Linked DNA regions of Rhinolophus ferrumequinum. The protein of the gene in region 3 purifies or fractionates together with the protein of the main gene of each other region. This does not show direct contact. Links are inferred from orthologs where the notes say so. Each region holds a gene or a part of one and is shown on either strand. Other genes may lie near its edges.

The links. Proteins that work in one complex are often made in the same cells at the same time.
Region 1: the proteins of PPP2CB (region 3) and CEP350 purify together in Homo sapiens (affinity purification with mass spectrometry; 3 studies listed by BioGRID and IntAct, counting the BioPlex papers as one, with this or other methods). This does not show direct contact. The link is inferred for Rhinolophus ferrumequinum from reciprocal best matches to the Homo sapiens genes PPP2CB and CEP350.
Region 2: the proteins of PPP2CB (region 3) and CCT6A purify together in Homo sapiens (affinity purification with mass spectrometry; 4 studies listed by BioGRID and IntAct, with this or other methods). This does not show direct contact. The link is inferred for Rhinolophus ferrumequinum from reciprocal best matches to the Homo sapiens genes PPP2CB and CCT6A.

The regions. Positions count from the first base shown.
Region 1 is NC_046305.1:12,653,995-12,661,654, forward strand, and holds the start of CEP350 (centrosome-associated protein 350), read left to right. Parts: upstream 1-4,655; 5' UTR 4,656-5,013; intron 5,014-7,660. UniProt on the Homo sapiens protein: Plays an essential role in centriole growth by stabilizing a procentriolar seed composed of at least, SASS6 and CPAP. Required for anchoring microtubules to the centrosomes and for the integrity of the microtubule network.
Region 2 is NC_046290.1:99,864,977-99,872,028, forward strand, and holds the start of CCT6A (T-complex protein 1 subunit zeta), read right to left. Parts: upstream 3,006-7,052; 5' UTR 2,866-3,005; coding exon 2,729-2,865; intron 2,294-2,728; coding exon 2,230-2,293; intron 823-2,229; coding exon 688-822; intron 105-687; exon of another isoform or gene 1-104. UniProt on the Homo sapiens protein: Component of the chaperonin-containing T-complex (TRiC), a molecular chaperone complex that assists the folding of actin, tubulin and other proteins upon ATP hydrolysis.
Region 3 is NC_046287.1:66,957,095-66,964,219, reverse strand, and holds the start of PPP2CB (serine/threonine-protein phosphatase 2A catalytic subunit beta isoform), read right to left. Parts: upstream 3,078-7,125; 5' UTR 2,938-3,077; coding exon 2,836-2,937; intron 1-2,835.

The sequences.
Region 1 (7,660 bases), on a different chromosome or scaffold from region 3:
CTGCTGTGTTTCCACAAATTGATCCCTAATATCTAACCACAAAGGATTTGTACCATCCCAGACGGGGCCTCTGATCCTGCTCTATTCTGATTGGGTCCCAACCTTACTGGTTGTGATAAAGTTTTAGTATCACTCCTGCCTAAAACAATGTGAAAATAAATGTGAATGACATTACAAATGAAATAGAATAACTATGGGTTAGAAATTTAACTTCCAATTATGAATGCTGCACAACAAATTATCCTGAAACTTAGTGGCTTCAATAACAGTATTGCTCACGAGTCTACAATTTGGGCAGGACCGGGTGGGGCAGCTTGTCTCTGCTCCAGTTAGTGTTAGCTGGAGTGGCTTAAAGGCTGGTGTGATGGTTAATTTGATGTGCCAAAGGCTAGGCCAAGTGCCCAGATATTTGGTCAAATACCAGTCTAGATGTTGGTTTAAAGGTGTTTTTTTTTAGAGATTAACATTAAATCAGTAGACTTTGAGTAAAGCAGATTACCTGCCATATAGGTGGGCCTCGTCCAATCAGTTGAAGGCTTCAAGAGAACCAGACTGAGGTCCCACAAAGTGGGAATTCTGCCAGCAGACTGCCTTTGGACTCAACCTGCAACATCAACCATTCCCTGGGTCTCCAACCTGTTGGTCTCCCCTACGCTGGTTGCTGCTATTGTTTTGTCATTGGCTCTCACTCAAAAATTCCAACTTAATATCCCGTCACAGTCAAATACAGTTAAAATCTTCCTTCATAGATATTTCTATTCTCCTTTTGTCAGAGAGATTTCTCTGACTAATATTTCCTTGGCTTGTATGCTCACGCACACACACTCTCTCACACACAAATATTTATATAAAGATAAATGACTGTCCCTACTTTCTTGTTGAAGAAAGTTCTTATTGATAAATTTTAGTTTTTCCATAATTCTGCACATCAGAACACAAAAAAGCCCTAGAAAAATTCAAGATTAAGCCACAAGACTGAATCTAGAAAAAGAAAATAACCAGAAAACTCATCCCTAAATTTGGTGTTTCCATAGTTTGTTAGAATTGCATAGCTTGTTAGATTTGCAACCTGAATGGTTGAATTTATTATTGAAAAGGCAGTAGACAGGATTATAGATCAGATTTGGCATTTAGGCTTGACATTTAAATAGAAATGTCTTTAATCAATCCTGATACATAATTTTATTCAATTTACCTCAAATGGTGAGTGGTCTCATTACATTACCATAGCTACATCTCTCCATTTCTCAATTTGTTTTGTCTAGAGATCAATGTCAAATTTCACATTCTCAGGAGAGAAAACATGTAGCTATTCACCCAGAATTTAATTAAATTCAACAAACATTCAATTCAATTAAACAAATAGTGAGTGCCTACTATATGCCAGGCATCTGTTTAATTTATTTTAAAAATAGTAAAAATAACCAACATTTTTGAGCACCTACCATGTGCCAAGTACCATGCTATTTCCTTTACCTGTGTTCTTTCTTTTAATCCTCACAAAACCCTATGGAGTAGGTACTATTGTAATCTCTACTGTACAGATGTGGAAACTGAGGCACAAAGAAGTTAAGTACCTTGACTAAAATTATTTGATTCGATTCAGGCCCTTTTGACTCCAGAGTTCATGTTCATAATCCACTCTTAAGGAGATAAAGGGCTTTACAGTCTAAGGAATAAGGAAGTAGAAGATAAATGCAGAAGTATCAATAGTACATACAGCCCTAAGGGAGATACACAGCATTGTGGAGTCCAGGGGTGAAAGAGTACCTGCAAAGTATGAGCAGTCATGAAATTTTTCCTGTGGTAGATAGTTTGTGAGCTTGTACTTAAACAGTGTGGCAGAAATTGTGAACCAGGGGATATGTGGTTCAGGTTATGGAATAAAGTTCTAGAGGTAGGAATGAGCCGGCCGTGTCTGAGATCCAGTTTGACTCAAATTAGCATCCAGTTAGGGTAGGATTAATAGCCACTGCTTATTTCTATCTTTTATGTGCCAGGTTCTTGTCAGATGTTATTTCTAATTTTTAAGACAACCCTACAGGGTAGATATCGTTAGCCTTGATTTATAGACAATAAAATGGAGGTTTTTGAGGAGTCATAGGGCAAGTAAGTGACCGAGCCAAGATTTGAAGTCTTCCTGACACCACATCCCTGTCTTTTCTATGTTTTCATGCTGCGTTACTTCAGGGAGACAGAAAGCTAGGCTGGGGCCACATTGAGAAAGGTCTTGATGACTGAGGTGAGGAATTTTTACTTACGTTGTCAGGCAGAGGAGAGCAGGGACAAAACTCACTCTGAACTCTGGGAAGACAACCGCAATTCATTTGGGCAGTAGAAATGAGAGCCTGAATTAGAAGAATAGTGGTGCCTGCTGGTGGGAATGTAAATTGGTACGACCATGATGGAAAACAGTATGGAGGTTCCTCAAAAAATTAAGACTAGAGTTACCATATGACCCAGGAATCCCTCTTCTCGGTATCTGACTGAAAAATTTGAAAACATACGTAAAGAAATACGTACCCCTATGTTCACTGCATTATCCACAGTTGCCAAAACATGGAAATAACTGAAGTGTCCTTCAACAGATGATTAAAGAAGATGTGGTATATATATATACACACAATGGAATATCACTCAGCCATAAGAAAAAGATGAAATACTGCCATTTGCGACAACATAGATGGATACTGAGAATATCATGCTAAGTGAAACAATTCAGAAGGAAAAAGTTGAGAACCATATGATTTTATTCATAGGTGGGATATAATTTGGGAGCTGGAGGTGCTGGTGACTTCTGTATCTATGTGGAGGTGGGTAACAGACAAGTGGAGAGTTTAGTTAGAAGTTTGGGGCCAAGATCCAGTTATACAAAGAAAACTAGGAGTCCAAGTCATCGTAATCAACAAAAACCATAAAGTGCAGGAAAATCCAATCTTGGTGTCAACTAAGAAGTAGGAAAAAAAAAGGGACCCTATTTAACACCTATTATGTGCCTAGCACTGTGGAAACAATGGGAATGGTGACAAAACTTTTCTCATTAAGCTTCCAATCTTGTTCCAGAATTAATTACTCTCATGAAACAGTGAGCAAATAATATAACACTTGATATGCTCGAATGCTAATCTGTAGGGTATAGACAGTAAGAGTTATGGGATGTTGAAAAGGTGAGAGGTTGATATTTGGGACGTGAGGGAGAGGGCAGGAGTCAGCACAAAGCTTAATAAGATGGTGCATAGACTGATATGCAGGTAACAGTGCTCCCCATGTAGTGACAGGAACTTTTGGAGTTTTTTTCTATTGCCCAGGAAGTAGCATGGAGGTGGAAAAGTATCAACGGGCTTTGGAGTAAGGGAGACCTCAGCTCTTATACCTGCCGTTTACTGATGGTATAATACTGGGCAAATTACTTAACTTTTCAGAACCCATTTCCTCTTTTTAAAAAAGTGAGTATAATACTTAATAAGGTGGCTGTATAAATTCAGTAAAATAGCATGAAAAACATCGATCCCCACTGCTGTGCATAGAAAGGTTGGGGGAAAACCTAAATCATTCTTTCTTTATGTTGTTTTTCTTGCTACCACTTGCACCAGTGGAATACCCACATTGCCTGTTCTTCCCTCCAGCATACCTTCCTGGAGACACAGTACATATTTTTGTGCAGGATTTTTGTATGTCCATATATCTCCTATTCAGGCAAAGCCATAGGCCCTAACCAAAGAGGGGGCAGTTAGTGCCTTCTGCTTTTATTGATTTGATCTACTCAACAAGCGTTTATTGAGCACCTACAAAGTCCTAGTTACTATGCTAGGCCCCATTGGGGTATAGAGAGATAAAAAACACTTAAAAATCCTCAAAAGACTTACAAATGAGAAACAGTCGCGGGGTAAATAGCTATGGGACTTCAGAAGGTGGAAGAAAGTGATGGGTGGGGAGCTTGTACGCAGTGAACACCTAGCGGAAGGTGGCTTGATTTGCAGAAGAGCTGTCATTTATGCTACGTTAAGTCTTGACAGGTGATAGAATTCACCACGCGGAGATTGGGACAAGAGGATAAAGATATTAGGAGATACGCTGATCACTGAGAGATTCTCAAAGCACAGTTATATCCATGCCAGCTCCTAATGGGAGGAAACTCCGTTGTACTTGCTGAACAGAATTGTAAGCCTTGCGAATAAAACGGCCACAGTGACAGCAGTAGATAACAGCAGCAGCCGCAAAGCTGCAATCACTCTGAAACTGACTGGGGTAAAGAAGATGTATTTGCACAATTGGTGAAACATCGTAAACTCGGAGAAGCTGCAATTTCTAGACTTCGAGTTCATCTTCGCCAACGCCCCAGCTTGTTTTCTCGGCCGAGGGTGAAAGGCGCAGCCAGAAGGCCCAATTAGAATCAGGGGAAGAGGGCGGGGGAGGTCTCCGCTGCGGATCTACTTTGGCTCCTCCCCAGCCCTGCAAGGCTCAAACTTAGCCACACCAATCATGGCGCCCTCGAGGGTCCTCTCCTCCGTTTATGTCGCCTCACCTTTTGGACACACTCAACATGGCCCTAACCGAAGGTTGCATTCCTGTGGAACCATCTCGGGACAGTTCTCGCGAGGTTTGCCCGGGCCCCTACTGCTCCCGCCCTGCCTCGCGCCGCCGCCACCGCCACTGCTGCCGGCGCCGCTCCTCCTCCGTGTCAGTTGTTGGGCTGTAATGGCGACTGGGCCGCCGCTGCCGAAGTGACTCCCGGGCGGGGGAGTGGGGCCAGACCTGCGCCAGAGGGAACTGCAGAGAGCCGCCGCTGAGGGTCTGGCTTGCTGTGGGGGAGGAGAGGCAGCCTTTCCGCCTCTCCCTTCTTTGCAGACCCGCGGCTCCCGGGAGCCGGTGCGAAGCGGGCACCCGGGGCGTCCCCGGAGCGGGGAGGCCAGGCCGGGCAGCCCTGGGGCCGGTAGGGGCGGCGTCACTGCACCCTCCGCCAGGCCCCGCGGGATGCACCGTGGGAGCCGAGGGCGGAGGCGACACTCTCAGGTGAGCTGCGGGAGGACCTGGCTGGGACCGTGGACGCTCGCTTAGCCTCTGCTGCTTCTGTCCCTGGTCCCGGGTCCCCTCGGTGGCAGTGAGGGAGGCGGGGCGGGGCGCGGGGGCTCTGGCCCAGCCTGGCGTCCCCCTCGGCGAACCGCCGTGGGTCGTGAGGCTTGGCGGGGCTGGTCATCCTGAGACCTGGATTTGAAGTCCCACCCGTGCCTGCCGGAGACGGGATTTCCTTCCTTACCTGCCAATGCCTGCCCCCCACCCTCTTCTGCAAAAGATGTAAGCTGCCTCTCACCTTTGGTCTACGAAGTGTCTTTTAGAGATCAGGCATATTTGGGGAAATTCCGGGGAACTGGCTCCAGTGGCAAGGATGACTAGTTTCTGTTCCTTTTTGGTAGGGATAAACATTCTCAAGTATAGGAAAAACTTTGATCTTCTGCTCCAGTCTAGCAGCTACTGAATGCAGGCTACCGATTTATTAACAAATGATTTAAGGGGGAGATTTAAAAAGCTTTACGCTTTGAAAGTTGTCATTCCCTCCTTCCTCCCCCCCCCACCCCGCCCTCTCTTTAAATGTAGCCCAACACGCTAAATAATATTTGGCTAATGTTATAAATATGGGTTGGAATTCGGCTGGATTTTTAGTTTTCAGATAGGAAACTGCGCATAGGTATAGATTTTCATGTGGCTTTAGTGTAGTAGCAAAATCCTTCATAAAGGAAAAAACAGGTTGTCAGGAATAGTAATCAGTATCCATGTACTCCACCTGATTGTTTTGTTTTGATGGTGATCCTTGTTTTGAATTTGGAAAAGTCGTTAATGGTTGGTTCTGTTGCCATGTTAACGATGCCTCCTCCTGCCCTGTATTTTAAGGGTTTTAAAGGAAAGGCTATCTGAGGCAGAGGTAGTAACAACCTGAAAAAGGTTTGTGGAAGCAATGATAAAACATTGACAGCTGCTGCCCATTTCAGAAGTGTCTTAGTTTAAAATATTGTTGTTAGACCTGTGGTAGAAGTTGCTTCAAACCCATGGGCGTGCGAGTAGTAGTTTGTTTTGGTGTGCTAAATTGACAGATTCCAATGTAATAAAATAAATATGAACCATTGAACCCTCATTGCATTGAATTGAAGATACTTTAATCAGAAAGTAAACATCAAGCTAGAATACATTGTATGTGTTGATAAATACTTGTGTATCTCATCTTTTCATAGTAGCAGCACTGTAAGAATGATGGTTAAGTTATAATATGTAAACAATTTTGTACGTATGTGAAAGAATATCTCTGATTCTCGGAGATTACTTAGTGTGTAGTGTTATATAAGACCGTTCACACTTGAACAACAGGGTAATCAACTTATGAATTAGGAAGTTTTGAATTTTTTTCTGGTGCTTCTGATTGCCAATCTTTTGCCCAACACTTCTACCATATCATGGACAGAAGAAAGGAGATGAAGTTCCTGTCTAACCAACTTTATTATTTATTAAATTGCTCTGAGTTATAGAGGGAGCAAAAAAGAAGCTGCCGTCTAAAATAACTGACATCATTTTCTGGTGTGCTTCCACATACATTATTTTATTTAATCTTCATAGCAATTGGATGAAGTCGGTTTGGCAAATACCCTCATTTTGCAGTTGTGGAAATCGACACACAAGGAAGTTCATTTATTTATGTGAACACTGCTCTTATTCCTGCAGATGATTGAGAATAGTTTTTATTTTATTTATTTTTTATTGAGGTACAATTGACATATAACATTAGTTTCAGGCGTACAACATAATGATTCGATATTTACATATAATGTGAAATGATCACAATAAGTCTGATTAACATTCTAGAATTCGTTTTATCTTAAATCGAATATTATAGAGACTTCTGGCATTTGGTTTTTTTAAAATCTAAAAAAAATATTTTTGTTCCTTTTGACATGTCACTTGATCCTCATACTGATGATTTTCAGTTCTTTAAAAACATCAGTGTTTTTATAGCATTTTGAAATTTTTAACAAGTCGTGAATTATGATAATGGGTTGCTTTACTTCTATATGTACTTTTCGCTTGAAAAAATGTTCCTAACAATTGTAGTTAATTTGTCTCTCATTTTGTTTGGATGCTCATAGTTCTGTCATCTTTGGTACTTCAGATTATATACGCGTATACTCTCTTGTTATGTAAAAGGAATATTCAAGCCACCTGGTCAGTAGCATAACTGAAAAGTAGTAACATCTTGGTGATTTTATTGTAGAAACGATGGATAATTTAAAAAGTTAATTACACATGATTTGTATTTTTGCAGTGTGGGGCAAGTTGTGAAATAATTTTCTCCTTTTTTTGAAGATCTAATTGGCTTTAGTCAGCGATTCATGAATCGGGCAACACCCCATCTAGCAACTAGAAGGGCGCTCCCCAAATAATTTCCTTTACTTCTCCCCCCACGTCAAACAATTTCTAGTATCACAAATAGTCCAAAAACCTGATTAATCGAACGATTGCGTAGTTGTTTTCTGCACTAATATTTTTTTGGTTCATGATTATTACAAGGGTAACTTTATATTTACTAGTGGTTATTTTGGGTGATTATTTGCCTTTCTCATCTAGTCTGTAAGTTCTATGATGGGAGAGGTCCTCTATTAACTACTATGCACCC
Region 2 (7,052 bases), on a different chromosome or scaffold from region 3:
AGGATAAATAGTCCTTTCAATGCAGAGGAGAAGAACAGACATTGCTCTAGCACAGAGTCAAAGCCAAGGGAACTATAAAGCACACTTGGGTGTTCACTGTGCAAACTACAAGGAATAATGACAAAAACTCAAGTGTCACAACAACCTGCAGTCAATAGGACCATTATATCTTTTCTATAGGTAATCTGAAATTAATTCATTATCATTTACCAAGAAAAAGTAGACAGGGAGACTAAGAGTCTGCCTCCTGCCTTCCTAAGAAGTTTTTCTTGACATCAGATTAGTATTTATTAAGGTTTGCTTTAACTTTGGACCTACTCAGGGCTAAAAAAAGTTGTAGAATTCTTAAGTCCGTTTTTGGTTGGCTTTTTCCTTATAAATATGCCTAGTCCTGATTTCAATTATTAGTCTACATTATAGACAGACATATGTCATACATGCAATGCAACTTGATAAAATAAGAAACCTTCAGGGCCCAGGAAGGATCTTTAACTTGTCTAGGATCACAATTAATTTGTGTGAGACCAAGATAAAGACTCTGGTTCCCAGATTTAAGCCGCTATGCTCTTCACATTCTACTATATATAGCCTCAGCTACTACTAACACATCAATTTGTATAAATAAAACTCAGATTATTTTCTATACACAATAAAGTATCACAGAAACACGTAAGAATCATGTAATACTTCAGAAATGTACAGATCCGCCTGTTTCAGCAGTTCTCCAATGATTAGGACATTGGAAGTGGTACCATCACCAGTTATGTCATCCTGGGCTGTTGCTACTTTGGCTATTAAGGAGGCTGTTGGGTGTTGAATTTGCTGAAAGTAGAAAAAGGAAAAAAAAATTAAGTAACTTGAAACAATACAAATATACCTTAAAATGTGAACGGCATCCTTAAATGCTATGTATTTGCACAAATTACCCAAGTGTTCAGCTACATATTATTTTGATTAAGAAGTCACCATTAGCTATTTTGCATTGTTTCTGACGACCAAAATATTGTCATGTATATATTTCTCAAGATTATCTCCACTTTATTGATAAGGAAATTTGACGCTCAATTAAGGGCTTTTGGTGGGAATAAATCAGGTAACTTCTAAAATAAAAGTTTAGCAGCCTCCAATATTATTCGGCATCAAACAATTAAAAAGAAATAGCCCTCCTAGCAAAGGTCATCAGTGGATGCTAAATCACTGCATGGGAAGGCTTTGGAAGAACAGGGTATTCTTCAAGTCTCCAATATCACGCACAGATTCTTAATGAGAAAGGATTCAAACAAGGCTCCTGCACTGCTTTTGCTTTTTACCCTTTAATCTTCAGATCGTTGGGGACATTGACAGTTTTAAGAATCCAGCCCAATTACCTTGTAGACTATCTCATTATCTACATTTGCTATTTTTGGCAAGACCAACACAGAGGTGACACTGTATACTTCTGTTTCCTTTACAGTTTCTTGTTAAGCTATAAATGTTTAATGTGCTTCTCTATGTTTATGCTGTATTTCACAATTTAAAAAATCAAGTAAAATAAAAAAAAAAACCATGTAGCTACGTCTTTTCTGATATTAAGTTTCAACTATGACTCCAAGTGTTCTCAGCCAGCACAGGCCACTGATTACATTTGGATGCTGAAGGCATGGTACCCTACTATCAAAGCCCTACATTTTATTCTTAACTCAAAACACAGGCAAGTCATTTCCTTTTCTTGGATTTGAACTGCTAAGTTTTGGGAACTTATGGATGTGTAAAATTTTTGATCCTCTCAATAATCTCAGATTCTTGGTCACAGGACTTTTAAAATGGTTAAGCAAGGCGTTTTATCTCCCCTCCAGTTGAAGATGGAAGAGATGACAGGTAACAGAGAAATTGCTGTTTTAAAGAGACAAAGTACAAACAACCTGTCTCATTCTGCCTATGTGAATGTGTCAACTGCTTGGTTTTCAGATTAGAATCTTAATAATTTCAATCCTTTAAAGGCCTTAAATGACAAGACCTTTGTCTTATTCATAAATAAGTATCAGACTCCAGGGCTCCTCACTGTAACATACTGTGGCTACCATTACTGATTAGACTACTTTCCTACTCTCTCCATTGTCTGTAAGACTGGCCTGTTGAGAGGTGATGAATATGATTTCCTCCTACCTTGAGAATAAACATTAAACATCTCCCTACAAATTAAACCTCCAATGCAAACCAAGACCTTTTAAACGTATAGCAGCCTCTCACCATTTCATGAAGCAGCACGTTGCCATCCTTAGTAAGCTTGATATCTCCAGCACCAGAAACAAGCCTGTTCAATGAGCAGAAACGAAATCAATGTGACTTTTTCAACGGAGACCAAACTGACTCCCATCGACACCACGCTTTACCCAGATCCTAAGAAGCCGCACGCGGCCATTAAGTTGGTCGTCCACTCCCGGTTAACAGGAATGGCGCAGTGCCCACCCCCTCCCTTCTGAGAAACAGTGTGCCGCGCGTCCTCAGGGTCGCTTTAGTCCCAGAGATCCGCGCACGAGGGCAGCTTTGTTCTCTGCGAAGGATGCATCGACTACAAGAGAAAACAGCCGGGGCAGGAAACAGGCCTGACATGGGAACGGGGGTAAAAGGGGAGAAGCAACGGGCGCACAGGCCCGGAAGCAGCGGGCTGGAGACCACGACTGCCGGCATCGCGGCCACACGAGGTGCGCGGTGCCCGCCCGGCCCTCCCCCACCAGCCCCGCCTTACATCTTCATGGTGCCCTTAGGCCCCAAGTTGGTCCGCAGCACGTCCTGCAGCCCCCGGGCCGCGCTGATGTTGACCGCCAACGCAGCCTGGGCTCGGGCCACCTCGGCCTTGGGATTTAGGGTCTTCACAGCCGCCATAACTGACCCAGCAGCAGAAAAAGAAAACAGCAGGCGTGAAGATCGCCCACAGCCGGCTCAGCGTGGCCCAGCGGCGCTATCCGGGTCTTCTGGAAAAGTCGGGCGCGCCCTGCCCGCCCCCAGCGTGCCCACGCGCCGCCCTCATTGGGCCGCCGGTCGGCCGGCGCCGCTCATTGGGTCTTGGTCGCATGGCCGGCCGCCTGCGGCCCCGCCCCTCACTCCCGGGCTTCGGCGCCATTGCGCAGGGAGGCGGGGAGCGTGTTCTCGAGCGGTAAGGGCTCCCGAGCTTCCGGTGTCCTCGCTGGCTTTGCTAACCGAGCCCTGAGGACATAGCGGGGGCCGACCGAGTCCCGCTCAGCGGGAGGTTGGGGCTGTGGGCCGCGCGCCCGTCCGCCTCTTGGGTGACTAGAGAGCTGGCGCTCCTTCCTGGAGGTCTCTGACCGCAGGTTGTACAGTGGCCTCCCTCCCTCCGGAGTTTGCTTTGTTTCCTGCCCTTCTTTTGTCCCTGTCACCAGTTTTCTTGACTGCATCCTATGTGCTTGTTAGTGTTCTAGGTCATGTGGGGCTACTGTAGTGAATCTGACTAGGATTGTGAATGGAAAAGGGTTATGTAATAAACTTGACAGGCTCAGCGGGGCCACGTGCAGTCCTGACAAACTCAGTGATGAAAAGTAACCACCCAAGATTGTCTGATCACAAATTCCTAACTGGGCAGGTAATAGCAGGTCGGCCTACATCTTCCGTAGCAAAGGTTAGCCTTTACCTTAAGGGAACTCGAGCCATAGCGTAGGCGTCTAGGATAATGTATCTTTGAAGTGTCCGAGTAATTTTCTTTTCCAAAGGCACAACTGCTGGCACCAGAGCACAAGACCACAGAGCCCCTCATTATGTTGTTTCCCAGGTACCATCTCTGTGTGCTGTAAATGTTACTATCCTGTACCCACCAGTGTAAGAAGCGTGTTTCTTCCTTTTGCCTTTTATGGAATCCCAGAGATTTCTCTGCTATGCTTTCTTCCACCTCCTTAATGGACCACCAATGGATTTCATGTAACCCTCCTTATGCCTCCTTTGATTCTAATGTATAAAATAAGCTGTGAAACTGCCATTCTCCGGAGCATTTTCTCACTCCATTGAGATTTTGCTTCCCAGCATAAATAAACTCATAAAAATAAATAAACTCATAATTCTCTACAGGTTTAGATGTTTCTTATTCTTGCCTAGTATCCTAGGTGTTTTAGGTCTAGGGAAGACGAAGAGATACAATGCAAGGGAGAATGCAAGGGAGAAAGTGCTAGATGCCTTTAGAAATCTGTGGGATTGGTGTGGACTTTGAGGAGAAGCAAGTCAGTTCACCCTCTGGGCTCAAAACTCACTGCTGAGGCCTTAGACCCTCAAGGCAAGTTTGAAAACTCAAACTTGATTGAGCAGTGTTGTCCAGCCTTTGAGAGGACACTGAAGACAGAAAAATTCTGAAAAAAATATCTACAATTGTTTTCTAGCATCCAGTTCCCCCACCCCTCCAAGTACGAGGTATTCAGTAATGTTTTGTTTTTTATTTTTATAGATAATGAAAATTGTTCAGAATTCAAAAGGTACCAAAGGGTATATGATAAAAGTAAGACTTCTTCCTGCTGGTATAACTTCCTCCAAACAAGCATAGTTAAACCTTTAGATGCTCTGAATTCTCCCAGATGCTTTCTGAATTTAGAAATAAATACTGGGGTGCCAAAAAAATGTATACAAGTGGACACTTTGGTCAACATTACTCAAGCAGTAGTTAGCCCTAATCAGAAGTGTTTGGACACTGATGGTAACTGCTTTGGGCCCCTCCTGTAATTGCAGAGGTCAAATGTGACTTGTATTCATCTTTTGTTATTGGTATATACTAAGTATTATGATTTTAATACAGTTTTCCTTTCTTAAAATGTGTATACTTTTTTTGGCACCCTCTGTACATACATAAATATAAGCATTTTCCCCTCACAAAATGGCAATTTATAATACACAGTGTTGGGTGTGTTAAAGTACCTTGGAGATTGTAAAATATCAATGCAAGTGGATTCCTCATTTTTGTCCCCAATTGTATTAATATCTTTTTATTCTTTTGGTAATCTCTTCCAGAGTTAACTACTTCCGTTTGCAGGTGATGAAATGTCTAAGGAATCCACTTGAAATGTTTACTGTGAGCATGGTCTTTCCCTTCACTCAACTCTGAATTTAGACTTTTGATCCTTGTTTTTTATATTCCAGTCCCAGTAGTTTTCATTGTAGAAGTTATCTGAAGACAGTCTTACACTTTATAGTAATGGTCTAACAGGCTCTAGCTTCTCCAGGAACACTACACAGGAATGGTTTTAAATGTGTATTAAACTAAGAGACATTCTCTCAAAAGAGTTTAAATGCATTTTATTTTTAGACAATCTACATGATATGATTGTCTTAAAAACAATGCCTCCACTCCAAATAAATCAAGGTGAAAATAAATGGAACAGCTCAAGATAACATCAGTCCTATTTGTTCTAGACCGGGGAGTGGATGAAAAGCAGCAGCTAGTTATGATGACAGGTGATGGATCCCAATGGCCAACTCTGTTAACATTTTTCCATTTCTAAACCATCCTTAAAGAAAATCACCTATGGGGTCACACCATCCTCACAGTCGTCCAACAGAGCAACCGTGCCATCTGGATTCAGGTTTTCAACAATAAAGAACTGGTAGTTTTTTGAAATTAGCAAGGATGTACTTGATTTGTTCTGCAGCCCCTGTCATAAAAGGTTTTACTCTTTCTGGTCTCTGTTCTTCAAGTTTCCCTCTGAGGGATTTCATCATTTTGTACTTCTTGTAGGCTTCTTTTGTGAAGCTGTCTTCCTGCTAATGATGGTTCATGACAATGTCAACACAAGCGACTACTGTGCTTTCAGGACCTTCGCCCTCCAGGCCTTCAGCCGAGGTATTTCCACCAATGAGGGAGTCATCAGTATCACCCTCTGTTCTACTGACCATCTTCCCCTCCACCTCCAGGCACAGCCCATCCTCAGTCTCCTGGATCTTGTAGATGTTGGAGAACATCTCATCGTGGCTGATTTGGTCCCAGTAGATCATCACGACGGTGGCTGGAAAGACACAACAGTGGCACTGGCTTAGCAGGAGCTGGGAGTGAGCACGATGCAGCCCAGCACTGCTGGGGGGAGGGGGAGCAGGTGAAAACAGCGGGATTCCTCATGAACAGCTGCATGATATTCTTTGTAAGAATGACATAGTTACCCAGTCACCTACTAATGGACGTTGAGGTTGTTCCAGATCTTCTATTCAGGCTACAGTGAATATCCTGGTATATAATGCTTTTATGTAGGCTTGTATATTTGAAAATCCCAAAAGTATCTACATAAGTTTGAGTGATAGTATAACACAACACAGTAGAAGGAGCCCCATGATGTTACTTGCTGTGCATGCAGATTTATTTAGCTACTGTTAGAGATGTGTGGGAGACATGAACAGAGATGAAGATTGTGGAACTTCAGTCATCTACTTGCAGGTAGGGAAAGGGGTAGTGTAAAGACTTCCACTCTCCTGAGGTGCAAAATTTAAGAGGCACCCAAAACTCAGTAATCAAGATGAATGCTTTAATGCAGTTATTTTTGCAAAATTTATGCAAAAAATCCATAATGAACAAATACCAGAATATTAGATTAGGCATCTCCACTAACATCATACCAGGAATTAGACAAAGTCAGCAAAACAAGGACCCTCATTATTCCTCTAGAGGCAAGCTATTTGCATATATCATTCTTCTAGTCTTAGTTATCACACTTTCAAGCAAATTAATTCTTTCCAGTATATGATGCAAAATAAAGTAGCAGGGGAGTGTTGCCTGTATGCTAATGTATGTATAGGATGGGAGAACTTTAGAATGTTGTTTGGAGAATTTTAAACAAAAAGTCACATTGTGGGAGCAGACCCATAGTATGCCATGATTGAAGAAATAGAGGTGGCGGCAGGTGTTCAGCTATTTGAATCAGGAGGGATTTCAATAAAGAACATTTTAAGGAAAGAACCCTAATGAGGCAGGGTGGTGTATTGGAAAGTATCCCAGAGTGAAATAATTTGAGTTTGAATTCTAGTTTGCAATGTTTACCAGTATGTGGCCTTGGAAAAGTTACTTAACTTTTTGGACTCAATTTTCTAAT
Region 3 (7,125 bases):
GAAAGGTTGAGCAAGTATTAAGTAGACCAAAGGAGGAGTAAAGTTACTTCACACAATTACTACTAATCCCAGTACTCTGTGCTTCAGATAACAGGGATCACAAGAAATACTGAAACTATTTTTCAGGATTCCCTAGCCACTATACAGAAAACCTCTTTTGAAGTACATTCACCAGAGAGAGTCTTAACAACCCATCTATTTATTCTGCATCTTTTTCTAAAAGAAAATGGGGTGACAGATTTAAAACAAGATACAAGAGCTATTTTTTTTTTTTTTGCATTTCTTAGGTCCTTTCTTTTATACCAAATCTAATGTATAATACAACAATGTGTACATACGTTATATAATTTCCCAGCATCTCCCACAGCACGTTCAACACACTGTCACTTATGCAAGAGCCAGAATCAGACACAGATATAAGAACATAATTTGTTAAAAGCTCTTTAAGATTTTAAGCTAATTTAGTCATTTCTAAAATAAAGTATTTGACCCCACATATAAGGGAACTGGATGAACCAAACAAAAACAAACGAATTTCAACAGACAACTTTAAAGCAAAGTCGGTTAAATGGTTATTTTTAGTTTTAGTTTCTCTTCATTTAACATTCATTGAGTGCCCCAGGATTTTACACAGGTAATATCTTAATATTCACAACCAACCCAGGAGATGGGCAAGTATTATCCCTGTCTCACAGGTATGGAATAAGAGGTGCAAAGAGGCAGCAGCTATCAAGTTGTGGAACTCTGGCTGACTACTCCAGTCCCTGATACATAAACACTACACTTGTCAGGAAAAAGGAGGATGGGGCAGAGATATAAAATAGAACCAGAGATTAAGGTTAGCAGGTAAAATATGTATACATACCACAAAGGGATGCCACAGTTGCTGGAAGAGGGCTGAAAAACTAAGCAGTGCTCAGAAGAGTAGAGAGAAATACTATTACTGGACTCCATCCATTGGCAACTCCATCAAAGGGGTGGAGGACAATGATAAAGGGGGATTTTCACTTACAAACTCGTGTTTAGTGCATAAGTACAAATATTCAAAGAAAAAAGTGGGTAAGATCTAAGCTTAAATATACCTACAAGATCCTAGGGACTGGTAGTCCAAGTTATTCAGGAGCTGAAGTAAAAACTAATCTCTCTTGACAAATACAGAAAATTTCCTCACATGATTAAGACTCAAGTGTGATTGAGTAGTGATACAATATTATTCTCTAGGAATACATCTTAAAATTATTAGTCAAACGGAAAACGAATTCAACTCCCACCTTTGTCCATAATTTCAAGACTATATGTAATGTTCACAGTGAGGGTAACTGACTCAGCTAATTTCAAAACTGGGTATTTCACTTGACACTAGAGAGAGAAATATTGAGAGAGAAAGATTTAAAACATAAATTTGAAGACTCATGAAATTATAGGTTATCACACAAGAAAAACGAATATCTTCTTGAAATTATAAGCAAATAGTCTGTTTCAGAAAAGAGAAAAATACCACTTGCCTTGGCAGTTCTACCTACAGAAATAAATTCTGTTACCAAATTTTACATATTAAGGCCCTATACAACATTACACTTGTTAAAAACACTACTTTCACTTAATATTAGTTATTACTCCTCCATCCCTAAGTAAATTGCTTAATTTTGAGTCCCCTATTAACAACACTGACAAAATCTTTTGTTCTCCAATGTGTTTCTGAGGCATCCTGACTTCCAAACAAAATGATCAAGTCTAAAAATACAAACCAACCCAACAGCATTAAAGAAGAAATAATCTCCTTACTCCTTCACTGAGGAATTTTTATGTAAAAATGTGTCAAAATTATTTAGTCCAAGATTATAAAAGACGAGTGAGAAAAGCTCTAGATTTTAAAGTAACTAAGATAGAGAGTGCAAAATAATTCCAGCGGGTAAGGAAACAATAGATACAAAATTCAGAAAGTTGTCTAAGATCACACAATCAAGAATGACTGTAAACAGTTAACCACCTGCATATTTTATTACTCTTTGGCACAGGGAAAAAAAAAAACCCTTTATATATAATAGAAACGGAAAGGATTTTCTGAAAAGTGCTACCCTACACGAAAAACACGTAACCCATTTATATTTCAAGAAAGCACTGTTTCCAAACTTAAGATTTGCTGTCTTTCTGAAAATCAACATTTTGCTTCCAAGAGTCTCTCTATGGGAAGACCAGTCACCATCTGTTACAACTAAAGTCAAAGTCAACCTCTATTTTAGAAATCACAGTCTGCCATCACACCCACCTCTCTACAAATGCTTGACACATTCCAAATTAGCGATTTTTGAAAGGCCCATTCACCTGCGAAAAAAGCTCCCATTTATAACAAGTTCGTTAACATTAGCAACATCCAGGTTGGTTTTCGGTGCATTTTAAAAAAATTTTTATAAGATTTTATTGGAGCCAAACTGACAACATTGCCAAGAAGAAAGATCTCAGATGCTCCCGATGCATTTTCTGATAAGAGATGGTATTAGAATAACTGGCCGGCGTGTGGACTAGCAAGCGCCGAGATTGCTAGTCCACACGGGAAATACTGGAGTGTAACTCCCCAGAAGAATGTCAGTGACTCCCAAAAACACAGAAAGTGGATTCCAGGTGCCACGTTTCTCCTGCCCGTCTACAAGGACCCGAGGCCAGTAACGTGAGCATCCGCCGGGGAGGCAGAGGTACCCGGAGAGGCCAGCTCAACGCCCCGGATTTTGGACGGGCTGGGCCCCGCGGGTCACAGAGTGGACGGCCCGGGGAGGAGAGGGGCCGCCGCCCGCTCCAATCAGCCCCCCGCTCCCGCATTTCTCTTTTCTCTCTTACCTTTTCGCAGAGCGTCCGCACTTGGTTCTCGTTCAGCTGTTTACACTCGTTCAGCTGCTCGACCCACTGGTCCAGCTCCTTGGTGAATGCCTTGTCGTCCATGGCTGCCGGATCCCCGGCCCCGCCGCTGCCCTCCCCCCTCCCCGCCCCACCCTCGCCCGCCCCGGGCGCCGCTCCCCTCTCCCGCCGCCGCCGCCGCCAGCTCCCAGCGGGAGAAGGAGCCGGGGAGCGCGGCCGCCGGCCCCGCGCCCCGCCCAAGCCCAGCGGGCGGCTCCGGGAGCGCGGCCTCCAGGAGACCCCCGGCCGCTCTTGCCCGCCCGGCCGCGCGCCCCGGGTGTCGCTGGGAGGCGCGGGGAGGTGTGGGGGAGCGCGGCGCGGGTCTTCGGTGCAGCTCCCTCCTGACGATGGCCACCCGCCGCCGCCTCTCCCCGGCAGGCCTCTCCCGGCTCTCTGGCCCTTTCTGTCCCCTCGCTCTCTCTGTCCCCTCCCTCCGGGTTTCCGTCATCGCCTGGGCATTTCCGCCGAGAGAAAGGCGAGCAGGCAAAGGACCCGAGGAAGGCTGCTGCGCCCCCGCGTGGCTCGGCGGAGAAACGGTCCGAAAGAGCCAAAGATTCCACCGCTTTCTCCCTCTTCTTTTCTTTGTTCTTCCTCACTTCGGGTGCAGACCCAGCTCGCCTGGTTCTTTCTTCACATCGTTTTCTCTGGGAACCTTGTCCCCACCTTGGTCTCCTGCAGTGCTTTTTCAGCGCTCTGCAAAGGGATTGGGGAAGCTTGTGCCTTTCCTCAACAACACTGTCTCCCCAGAGTCTAGCACTCTCCCAACAGGCATTCAATATTTATTGAGTAAGTGAATGCTTTCTAGCCTTGTCTCTGCCATTAACTAGGTGTGGGGCCCTAACATCTCGAATCTACCCTTTCAGCATCAGAAAGATGAGATGATCGTTGTGTATTATATTTATCTGTGTCCCTTCCAGCTCCAGTATTATACACTGCGTTTGCCGCAGTGTTTATGCAATGTTCTAATAATTTGTTCATTCGCCAAGTATTTATCGAGCGACTGCTAACTGCCAGTTCCCTGGAAGAGCATATTTCCTCTTGTTGCCGCTGAACCCAAGAGGGAGGCAACATCCAGTATCAGAAGGCAAAGGTTTCAATCTTGGTTTTGCCAACTGTGTAGCTGTGTTCTTTCTTGGACAACCACCAAATCTCCCCAAGCCTCCAAGTCCTCATCTGTTAAAAGGGCTCAGTAAGGCCTACTTTTTCAGTTTGTGAAGATTAAATTTTTACAAGTGCCTATCCAATAGTACAGTATTTGAGCAATCTAATAGTTGCTTATCCCTTCTAGGCAACAGTTAGAAAAAACTTTAGAAAGGTGGATTTGAACTGAATTTTGAAACTTCTCCCTAGGCAAAACCTTGAAGTTGCCTGGAGTAGAAGACGTTCTAAGGAATTTGTTTTGTGGCAGAGGACAAATGTGTGAAAGACCACACACGTGTGGAAAGTTATAAATATGCCCATCCATAGAAATAGGTCATAGAGTGGGAAATAAGGCTGGAAGAGCTCCTGCTCTTAAGTGCCTTGTATATAGTAGCAAACCAACTAAGGACAAAAGATGAAAAGGTGATGAAATGCTACTGCAGAGAAAGGGTACCTGTATGATTGTGAGAGAAATTGCAGTCTCTGAAGAGGTTCGTCTATAAAGAACTAAAGGAGGCTGGATTTCAGCTAAGCCTGGAAAGCTCAGAATGAACATGAGTGGTATTTTCTGAGTATCTCATTTAGTCCCTTTATTACAACCCTATGAAGTAGGTGCTTTTATTATTGTTTCAATTAACCAAATGAGGATAGTGAGGTAGAGAAGATAAGTGACTGGCCCAAGGTCACTCAGACGGAGCTGGAAAATGAAGCCAGGTAGCCAGAGCCTATGCTCTTGAACCTCTCTGCTATATTGTCATCAGTCCTGTCAATAATTTTGTTTAATGCTGTTTAAAAAGGCTCGGCCCCCAGATTCCATGACTATGTTATGTATTTTATATACATATATAAGAGGAATATATAATTTACTGTAATTTTCTACTAAAATCGTGCAATACTTTTTTTGGTGATTTTTCTTATTGTGGTAAAACATAAAATTTACTATTTTATCCACTTTCAAACATGCAATTCAAGGCATCAGAGACATTCACAATGTTGAACAACTCTCATAACTATGCTTTCCAGAACTTTTTCATAATCCTAAACTCTGTGCCAATTAAGCAATAATTGTCATTCCCCTAATATACATGTACTTTCATATATTATCATAAACCTCAGAAAAGCCCTTACCCTGACACCCTAAAGAAACATTTGGTGCTTACTCTAATATTCTTGAGTTATCTAGATTATTGATTTAATTCTAATTTTCACTTTCCCATATTATACCATAGTCCATGGATTCTAAGATACCATTTTTTTCCCCTTCAGTTTAACATCTCTGAAATTGAGTCTCATCTTACAATTAATGACATCTTATATTTAATCAAATCCCCTGAAAATGAGGGTTCATAGCTGTGTTCAAGTTACTTTAATTTGGTTTCTCTCTTCCCTTCATTTCAGTGTGCGGTGATAGTATTCATTTAAGAGTTAAATTTGTTTCTGCTTGCATATAGTTTGTTACTCCCATCCTTATTAATTTAATTTTCTTGGTATGTAGAACATTATCCAAGCTTCCAACAGTAAAATTTATCCAAAAAGGTGAATGCAGGAAAATGTCATTCTTTCACTTATTCCTTTCTCCCTGTTCTCTACTCTTTGTAGGTAACCAGCTTCATTGTTTTGTTTTATTCCTGAGTTATTTTATGCAAAAACATGCATATATATTTCCCCTTCTTTCTCATGTAAAAGGTAACATATTCTAGGTCTTCTTTTGTACTCTGCTTTTCTCAGTGAAATATTTCACAGAAAACACTCATTGGTTCATAGGAATTGTCCTCATCTGTTTACAACTACATAGTCCTCCACTGGTGTACGTAACGTAGTTTACTCAGTTATAGCTAAGTGGGCCCTTAGGTAATTACCAGGACTTTGCAATTACAAATAATACATTTATATTTTTATATTATTGAAGATTTATTATCAGGATAAATTCCTGGAAGTAGGGTTACTGGGTCAGAGAGTAAAAGCGTATATGGTTTCAATAGACATTGTACAACTTAACATTCCCACAAGCAATGTATGAGAGTGTCTGTTTCCCCACAACTTCTCCAACATGGTACATGGTCAGCTTTTAAAATTGTGCCCATCTGATAGGTGAGAAATGATATCTCAGTGTATTTTTAATTTCATTTCTAGCTTGTTTTTTTTTTTTCCTTTTTCTCCAAAACCATATTACTCTGCCTGGCTTACTTGTGAATAGTCCCCTAGGTCTGTAGCAGGGATGCAACTTAATACATCTTTTGACAATTGAGCTTAAGACATTTAGAGTCTTGGTTAGCACTATATCTAGCTTATTGTCATCGTAACACTTTTTATAAAGTTAAATTTTAAGTTGCGATAGTTACATGATAATTTTTAAAATGCATGGATATAATTTATATCCTTTCATAGTTTGGTATGCAAATTAACTCCCCCCTTTTTTGGATCTCAGACACACTGGTATAATCAATCCTCTTATTCAAAGGCACATTATCAAGATGTCTGTGCAAAAATCCTTGTTTTCCCCCTTCATCCTTAATATACTATCTCATCTCTCTGGAAAAGCATCCTCCAATGTATTGGGCATATATCCTAAATTATCCATGTAAAATATATAGTATTGTGTTTCATGTGCATATATATTGGTATTGTGCTATACATTTCATTGGTTCTAACTTTTCACTAAATGGTGATCATTACGATGTTTAGTGTTTGGCTTCTAAGTAGTTCTGTTACCGATTCAAGTTTTGTGCGCCCGACACTTCACAGTCCAATAGTCATAAACGTCAGGGTTTGGAATAAGGAAAAGTTTATTGATCGAGAAGGCATTAGCTAGAAAATATGGGGACCTTAACACTTTTGCAAATCTATCTTAAAAGCATCCCAAATTCAAGGGGAGGAGGGTGGGGCAAGAGGTGGGTGAGGACTGTAGACAAGTATGCACCAACAGGGATCCAAGGAAGAGCTTGAAATCTCTAAATCTCTGTTCCCAGTAGATCCACTGACCCGTGCTGATCTGAATTTGGTCGTGAGGCTCTTGTAAATCTTTGATAAGCAGTCATTGATTGTTTTGTACATATTTCCCCACCTCTTCAGAAAGGATGGAGAGGCTCCACA